Ovis aries: one gene and its partner. Each later gene encodes a partner of the first gene's protein in a complex. Links are inferred from orthologs where the notes say so. Each region holds a gene or a part of one and is shown on either strand. Other genes may lie near its edges. The genes, in order: DOCK5 and RHOG.

What was found.
Region 2: the proteins of DOCK5 (region 1) and RHOG are in contact, whole or in part, in a cryo-EM structure (PDB 8XM7), measured with the Homo sapiens proteins. The link is inferred for Ovis aries from reciprocal best matches to the Homo sapiens genes DOCK5 and RHOG. Residues at the interface, in NP_079216.4 of Homo sapiens: Val232, Phe345, Asn393, His394, Lys395, Gly396, Trp400; in NP_001656.2 of Homo sapiens: Ala121, Pro123, Leu126, Arg127, Arg128, Lys130.

The regions. Positions count from the first base shown.
Region 1 is NC_056055.1:40,505,633-40,510,063, reverse strand, and holds the start of DOCK5 (dedicator of cytokinesis protein 5), read left to right. Parts: upstream 1-1,383; 5' UTR 1,384-1,565; coding exon 1,566-1,608; intron 1,609-4,431. UniProt on the Homo sapiens protein: Guanine nucleotide exchange factor (GEF) for Rho and Rac. GEF proteins activate small GTPases by exchanging bound GDP for free GTP. Along with DOCK1, mediates CRK/CRKL regulation of epithelial and endothelial cell spreading and migration on type IV collagen.
Region 2 is NC_056068.1:49,994,266-49,998,768, forward strand, and holds the start of RHOG (rho-related GTP-binding protein RhoG), read left to right. Parts: upstream 1-1,435; 5' UTR 1,436-2,045; exon of another isoform or gene 2,046-2,063; intron 2,064-4,503.

The DNA of each region.
Region 1 (4,431 bases):
ATATTTGATGAATAAATACGTAGAGTTACCCACCATTAACAAAACCTTAAAAAAAATTCAGATCTGACTTTGCAAAAAGTTACCAAAGTTAAAATGCACCGTTTTCAGTGAAGTTTTGCTTTTTTTTATTACGTGTTTATTTCATTTTCCTTTCACATTCGAAATCGGCAAGAAAATCTTCATAGGCTGCGAGAACAAAGCAATTTCAAGAGGCTTTTTCTCAGATGGTGAACCCGAATCAGCTGGTCATTTACTCTGAGATTTTACTTCTATGGGTTAGGTAGCAAGGAGCCCCACAGCCACCTGGGACTCGGATCCAATCTTCATTCTTGAGGTCTCTCCAGATGGAAGTGAGTTCCAGGAGGAGAGTTTCAGAGGACGCCAACAGCTCAGGGCTGTTCAAATGTGCAGTCCCTGCGTTTGACTCTGAACAGTGCAGCTAGTGAACAGGAAAGATTCGGATGTGCTCGTCCCCTTCCCCGCAGGAACACTCTTAGGGCTGCTGGAAAAGGGAGGTCTTTGGGGCGGGCTTTCCCCTGGACCATGTAGGTCTAAATTTCTTTAGCTGGGTCTGAGTCTCTTCAGCTGGGGAGGAGCCCAGGTGTTTTCCGGGGACATAAGATTTCCAAGTCAGAACTCGCTACATAATTCTCGCTCAGGGGCTCCCCTAAGAAACTACTTGATACTTCTGAGGAGCCCGGCTCCTTCCCATTAGTTCTCTATTTACCAGAAGACAAATGTTCCTGCTTTGAAGGCTATGAACCATGGCCACAGGAGATCACGTTTGCCTTGGAGTCCGGCTTCCGGCTCTTGTGGTGACAACGAAAGCTCTAGGGGGTGAACGCAGTAGTCAGCTGCTCATTCATTCAACAAATATTTATCGAGCGCCGGTTGAGTGCCTGGCACTGCGAGAGCCCGGGCGGCTAGAAACGACTTATCTTAGATCCTATGCACTCATCCTAGTTCCCCTAGATGTTGCAGAGCGCGCGGTGAGGAAGGACTCCGCATCTACTCCCGCTTGCTCCGCCTGGGGGTGCCCGACCCCTCGAGCGCAGCCCTCCCGACACCCCGCCGCCGGGGATCCAGGCTCCAGGGTTTAGCCCGGTTGGGGACGGCGAGGGGCAAGAAGCCAAACACTAAAAGGATTTAAAAAAACAAAAACACACCAAAAAAACCGTACCCCAGTCTGTGCTGGGAAACTGCTCCCGGGAAGTGTGCAAGGCGCAGCCGGCCTGGGCCCGGGAGAGCGTGGAGACCTTGGCTGGCCGGCGCCCGCGGGTCGTGTCGCGGAGGCGGCCTTGGCGGGCGGAGGGCGCGGCCAGCGGGAGGGGCCGAGGCGGCGCCGGGAGGGGCGCGCACGGCGGCGTGGCTGCCGGGCGCAGCAGGTGACCGCGGCTCGCGGTGTGAGCCGGAGCGTATAGCTGGCGGCGCGGCGCGCGGGGCCGAGCGAAGTTTGCCGGAACATGGCGGAAGGGCCCGGGGCGCGCCGGTGCGCAGCGCGGTGGCGGTCCGAGCCCCAGGAGCTGTAGCCGCCGCAGCCGCCGCCGCGGGGCGAGGTCGCCGCCATGGCCCGCTGGATCCCGACCAAGCGGCAGAAGTATGGGGTTGGTGAGTACTCGCCCCACCCCGTCCCCGCCGCCGCCGCCGCCAAGTTCGGGGGAGCGGCCCTGCCGGGTGCAAAGTTGGGCGGGGGACGCACGGTCACTCGGTGCGCGCCTGCCCGGGACCGGGCTGCCGCTACCCGCCGGGGCGCCGCCAAGGCTCGGCTTGGGCCCCATTCGTTCTGGGAGCGGTGTGAGCCGGAGCCCGCTCCGGGAGCCTCATGGAGGGTGGGGGGTCATTCTGAGTTTGGGGAGTCCGAGTGTCTAAAAGTGCAGTTGGTTTCCGGACTGGCTGTCCTGCCCCCCGACTCCCAAGGCTGCAGCGCTTTGCAGAGTAGAAACGTGCAAAGCCCGGGCGCTCGCTCTGCTTCATTTGGGGCGCCCTGCCGCGGTGCTCGCGCCCACTGTCCCCCAATCCACCGGCCCGCTCCGGCCCGTGTAGCTTCATTCAGTTCTTTGTAACCGGCCGAGGCCCGTGGAACGCGAAGTCGGCGGGCTGCCCCAGCGCTTCCTGCCTTTGCTCTTAGGTTCTCCCTGCGGCCCCAAGTGAAGAGTTTGTGGGGGGGCTGTTGCGGGGGGGCGGTAGGGAGCCGTCCTCTCCCAACTCCTCCCAGGCACAGGGATCCCTGTAGCAGTTGTAAACTGGTCAGGAGACTCAAGCTGTGGTGTGGAGGTGATGGAAGCGGCAGGAAGTGTGTGGTATGGGAGCGGGGGTGGCTGGCCCCCGCGGCTGCTGGTGCGGACTGTCGTCCTCTACCCAAGCGTGAGTGGAGACGGTCTCCGACTGCCTTCTGAATCCCCATTCCGCCGTGGGATAAGACAAGGACATTTTACTGGGAACACTGTGACAGGTCCTGTGCTAGGCACTTGGCCGTTTCGAACAGCGGTGCTGGAAGGGCCGGCAGGATGTGCAGGAGGTTGCTTTCGTGTTAGTTTTCGATCCGAAACGGTGGTTGAGCGGGGCTTTAACCCAGGTGAAAACTCTTGGTCTTTCCACTTTTTATCGAGGAGTGAGGTTGCTTAGGTCTTGTGGAAAGACTGCTGTTAGTGGGGCGATTAAAGTGGCTTTAGGCTTGGGGGCGATTCCCTAGTATAAACACAGTTGAGAATTTTATCACTTCCTTTCAGGGTCGTTCATTGGGCATATTTGTAAGTCTTCGGCTTAACTACCATCTCGCTCGCATTTTTTTACCCCCTCACTTTAGTGGGAGGAACCTATTCTATGTTTTCTGACGGCTTTGTCAGTTTCAGTGAGAGATCTCTAGGGGCTTTTCAACTGGGAAGACTTGATTCAGTTACAAAGAAACAAACCAACTCTTTCATATTTATTACTTTGAGATGGTGATCCTCGTGTATATATTTATATGTGTGTGTATACAATAATATGCACAGGATTCCTTGTTTTTCCTTTGCAAAAACTTTTTCCTTTAAATTTCTTTTAGAATCCTTGCACTCTTCTGTGATTGTAGTTCTGCTTAATACTTTGGTCATGAGCTTTCAGGTGCCAGTTAGTAAGTAGCCAATAATTCTGGGAGTCAGATGGAGCTAATTTCTTTGTTTGTGTTAACTGGGTACTAACTCCTAGATGAAAGTATATTTAGCAATGCCTAGTCAACACTTCTCACAAAAAATTATCAATTCTAATTTTGTTTAATAGGAGAAACTCTCTCCAAAAGTATTCTGAGTTTAGCATAGTTAAGGCAAACATATCCTAAAAACATGGGTTTTATTTCCATAGTTATAGTAACAAGAGTGGTATTTTCTCTTTTTAATTTTTATCATCAGTCAAGAAAATTGAATTGCATTTCAAAGGTATAGGTAGCGGCAAAATTGCCCCAGAGTATCATTTAGAAAATTTATTTCCCTAGACACAATGGATACTTCAAAAAAAAAAAACACACAAAACTTTTAATTTTGTATTGAAGTATAGGTGATTAACAGTATTTGTGATAGTTTTCAGGTGGACAGCAAAGGAACTCAACCATGTACATACATGTATGCATTTTGCCCCAAACTCCCCTCCCATCCAGGCTGCCACATAACTTTGACCAGAGTTGCCGACACAATAGATTGTGATGAATCTGGGTTTGATAAAAAGGCCCACTGTTAGGACAGATGAGCTTATGGGATCAGTGTCCATTGTTTATTCCCAAGACACATGGTGATCATGCTAGCTCCCTGCTGGGAAGCCTTCCTTGGCCAGCAGGGTAAAGTCTAAACCGAGCCCAGTTTTCAAGGTTTTAAGACTCCAGCTCAGTATGTTTTCATAAAGCATATCTCTCACCGCTTCTCTCATCAACCCTCTAACGCAGACGCTGCCCTCTCCCTCTTGTGCTGTACACGGAGAGTCCCTCCTCTGGGACTCTTCGCTCCTATGCGTGTCCCCTGTTCCGAGTGCCCTTCCACCTCTGAATCCCATAATCTGGCCTTTCACCCAGGGTACGCTGCTTCCTCAACATTCCTACATTTTATTACTTAACCTTTGGTTCAGTGAATCAGAAGGTTATGGTATTGCATCCTTGGGACTAGAGGTATACGGGTAGAGAGCATGCATTCAGTAACTGCTTGTCCTTGGCGTTGGTGTGACATTCTAAGGCACCAACCTGATTTCTACAATTTAGTGCAGTTTTTTTTTTTTCCCCTCTTAGGTTTTAACATCTCATTCACTCTAGTATGACTTTTACCTTGTTCTGTTAGATGAAGCGAGACCCTTAAGTTTGTCTTTATCTTTGCAAGTAAAAAAAATGATATGCTGCTGAGAAAGCAGGCATGGAATAGATGGACTTGCTTAAATGTGATTGGGAAAAATTAGCTGGTTGGATTAATGGCT
Region 2 (4,503 bases), on another chromosome or scaffold:
AAAAATGTCAGCACTAGAAAATTTTAAGTTACATATGTGGCTCACATTTCGACTAGACAGCACTGGGAGAGACTACCAAGTGCAAGCCAGAGGTGGCGTGTGTGTGTGTGTGTGTGTGTGTGTGTCTCGTTGGAGGCAGTGATCCATTGTGAAAGGCTGAGTCTATTTCGCCAGGCAGTCAATACAGAAGTTAGGTGGAAGGAATAGAATGCACAAAGACCCAAAGATATGGGCAGGCACGTTGTGTTTTGGGAACTCATTCTTACATTAACACGATTTTTAAAAAGAGGAAAAGAAGCATTTGGAGTGTTTACTGTGAGCCAGCCACTGGCAGCAGGCCTTTTACATCCATTCTCATCTTCACAACTGCAGGATGAAGGGGATGTCATTCTAAATTGCCAAAGATAGAATGGAGGCTCAGAAAAGTTGAACAGTTTATTCTAAGAGTTGTTCTTCCTCTTTCTCTGGAAAGCCTCTTGGAGACAAGGAGCCTTTCGTTAACGTCTCTGTTTTCCTCCACAGCACCTAGCACGCAGCCCTCCACGTGGTAGGCACTCAGAAAGTTTGTGTTGGACGAAGAATATTTTCTCAAGTCAGAGCTCCACGCGCAAGGCCTAAGAGCAGAAGCACCAGAGGGCGCCCACGAGTCCGCCCACCCGCCCATCCCCAGGGCCCCGGCAGGATTCAGGACTGGGTGCGGTCCTTCTGTCCCAAGCAGTTGCGCGCCCCAGCGAGAAGAGGGGGCGAGGGGAGCCCCACGTCCTGGCCCCGCCCCGCTTCTTCGCCGGAGCCCAGGCGCGCGGAGCCGCCGGGTGCGGAACGACGACACGACATCCTGTTTTTGGGGCCCGCGGCTCCGCCTGCGCCTCTGCTGATCTTGTCTTTCCCCGGGTGCTGACGCCAGCTCCCCTTCCCCCAGTCTCCGCACCCTTCCCAGGGGTCTGGGGCCTTCCCACTGCTGAATCACCGCCACCCCGCGCTCCCCCGGGGCTCGGGGCAGGGGTGGGGACTGTCCCAGCCGGACCCATTCTGGCCAAATCCCAGCCTGGGCCATCGCTCGATCCCGGGGCTTGACTGAAGGCACCAGGCCTAGGGGCGCCCGTTCTCAGCATCTTCTCGCAGGGGTGGGTGGGGGCAAGATACGGTGAGAGGGGCACAAAATCCAAGCGCCTAGGCTAGGGCCTCTGCTGGGCTGCGGGTGGCAAGGAGACTGGGAGGACTGACCTTAGACGCCCTGACCTAAAGGGCCTCAGAGGTAAAGGGCTGGGGTGAGGGAGCCAGCACCCGGCCGGGGGCCAACCGGCTGGGGGCGACCTGGGGTGGGGGGGACCGGCCCGCGGACTTCCTGGTCGGGCCCCGCCCCGGCCCGGCCCGCTCCCGCGCCCCGCCCCGCCGGCGGGCCCGCCCCCCCCACTTCCTCCGGCCTCCCGCTCTCACTTCCTTCTCGAGCCCCGAGCCGCTGCCGCCGCCCCCAGCTCCCCCGCAGCGGGGAGGGCACCAGGTGAGGCCCGGCCCCGGCCGGCGGGCTGAGGGTCCGGGGGAAGGGAGCCCGGCCGGCCCGGGACTGGACGCGAGCGCAGGCCCGGGAAGTTTGGCTTCGGGAGGCCGCGGCGGGAGGTGCTCGGCTCGCTCCAAGTTGGGCGGGTGCGGCCGGCCGGGCGGGGCGGGGACGGGCACGGGCCACTGCGACCCGGCGACGGCTCCGGGAGGGTGGGGGTTCCTGTACCGATGGCGGCGATACCGGCCCCCGGGAGCCGCGAGGGACTCCTGAGGTCGGAGGGGCTCCCGCTCCGAGAGAAAAGTCTCTTGAGGGGAAGAGCTCAGAGCTGGGAGATGAGACTCAGAGATGGGGTGCCCCCAGGAGTTGCGGGAGGGCTGTTCTGAAGTGTGTTGAGGGGAAGGGGCCCCTGGGCTAGAGAACTCCTCTGGCAGTTGTGACACTTGTGAGGTAGAGAGAGAGGCTGTCTATTGCCTCTGAAGCCCTGGGCTGCGGAGAAGGAGCTCCTTCGCTGGAAGATCAAGGCCAGTCCAGACTGCAGCCCAAGGTCCTCTGTGCTCAGGAGGTGGGGGAACCCCGGTCGACCCTAGTGCTTCTCTCTGTGTGTCTCTGTCTGAAGCAAAACCTCTCCATCTCTGGAACGGAGAAACAAGTATTGTAGTGAGCAAACATCGGCTGTGCCTAGCTGGCCGATGCCTGCCACTGCTCATTGGCGGGGTAGACGGAGGAAGGAAAGGAACCAGGTCTTCCCCTGTTACAGAAGTGGAAGGGCTCTTACTCGGAGGTGCTGATCATCCTTAGCGAGAGGGCCTCACTGAGAGCAGGACTGTTTTTTAGGAGATGGAGAGAATAGGGCTTCTGGGAGGCCACAAAGACTCTAGCCTTGGAAAATGATGAGCCATCTCCTAGTCTTCCCTCTCCCCCATTGTTAGTCCCTGAATTCTACATGTTATTCTGTCTTCCTCCATTCCTTCTTCAGACTCTACCCGCGAACCCTTTGTCACCCTCTTCTCGTATCCTCTTCAGTTGCTTTTTCCCCAAACACACAGTCATGCCTGGCCCCTGACCTCTCCCCTGCCCTGCTTCTCTGTCCATCCTTGTCCTCTCCCTGTGGCCTCCCTGCTCCCTTCCTTGCCCAGCTTCTGGCTCCGCACACATATCCACCCTCTTGATTCTTCCATCTGCCCTCACTGTGATGGATCCCTGTCTTCTTCCCTTTCAGTAATGAATCTCCCGCTTTGGGGAACTGGACCACCCTAGTTCAATGAGGTGGGCTGCAGCCTCCCCTTGATAAAAGTGATGAAGGGTTTGGAAAACCTGTAGATGTGTATGTGCGTGCAAGTGTCTACATGTACATATCTTTATCTTTTGGAGACAAAATAACTGCCCTCAGCCTTGAGAGGGCCCAGAGCAGGGGAAGCCAGCAGAATGAAGGGAACCTGCATTGGGTGAGGTTGTGGTTAGGTAGGAGGAAGCAGTCTGTAGCATTCGGAGTATCAGGGTAGAGTGACACAATATTGAATAGGACTGGTGAGAGAGGCCGTGGGAAATCAAAATCTCCCAGACCCTTAGGTGCTTGGTCAAGAGGCCAGGCCTGGAGCCTGGGGGACAGCCTAAAAGTCCCTGACTCCATTGCTCACTTGTTCCAGCACCTCCTGGTGGGGAGAAGGGGACCAGGTCAGCTAGGTGTGATGGAAGGAAAGTACAGGGTTCAAGAGGGAAGACTATGGCTGGTTTAACTTCAATCTTAAATGTCTTAGTTCCAGTTCAGGAAAAAAAGAGGGGTATGAGGCAAAGGTGTCTGCCTGCTCTTTCCTGCTGCTTTCAGGGCCTGCCCAGGCCAGATTCCACGTGCCCTGGGCTGCATCAAAGCCTTGGTGACCAGGAAGCTCTCTAGAGTTCTGCTTACCCCTCTTCCTCAGGCATCCTTAATATTCCCCCTCTCACCTAAGAGCTTATTCCCTCTCTTTTGGGAGTTTCTTCCAAGTCTAACTGAAATCCAGCCTGGCTCTTTGTAAGCCTTGCTGTCTCCATTCTAGAGCCTTTGGGATGCATGCTGAGAGATCATGCTTCCCTCTCTTCTCAGGCCTACTCTGTTCATTTCTCTCCACTAGAAGAGAAGTGGAGGAGAGCAAGTGCTACTTTTGTGGGATTCCCAAGCACAGCTAGGTTTAAGGGCCATTCCTGTACCCCATTATGTCTCCTTCCCTTCTCACAGTTGTCTGTTCCCATGATTGTTTCCTACTGACATTCTGGGAGGTATAGAGTTTTGGCCCCAGCAGGAAGTCCCAAGGACCTGCATAAAAATCCCAGCTCAAGGGAAGACATATATGCAAGGAATTTCCCAGCATCAAGGCTCAGTTAAAAAACCACCCAGGAGTCCTGACTTCCCACCTACCAAACCAGTACTTATTTTAGATAACTGAGCAACCGACAGGATTCTAAGAGAAAAGATAGGATGGATGAAACAGGGGTTCTCCCAGACAAGACCTGGCCCCACTGAAGATTTGAGCTAATTGCATGAAAGTCACCACCGGAAAAATATAACCAAGGTGCAGGGAATCTAAGTGGGGAAATATTTTGCAGAGGGTGGAGGTGAGGAATATGTACCTGCTGTAGGAGGCTGCCATTGAGGTCTTGGCTAAAAAAACTATGGTCAGGGTCTCTTGACATGAAGAGAAGTGACTCAGGTCAAGATCCTGGTTGAGAATCTAGGATACGGAGAGTTGTTTCTGGCAAGATGTTACGACAGATGAAGTGGCTGGCGTAAATTTTTAGGGGGTCATGAGCAGGAAGATTTTAGAGGTTGTGGCTGTAGTGAGACAGTTGGGAAGATATTAGAATGCAGGTAGCTGAGCAACTGAAAAGAAGATGGGGGGCCCAGACTAAAGACCCCTCCTGCATACACAGTGTATACCTGTGAGTGGTGAGGCTCCTAGGGTTCTGTGAAGAGGGGAACCAAAGACAAAGCCTGGGCCGCCTCCCCAGAACAGATTGGTTTTCCT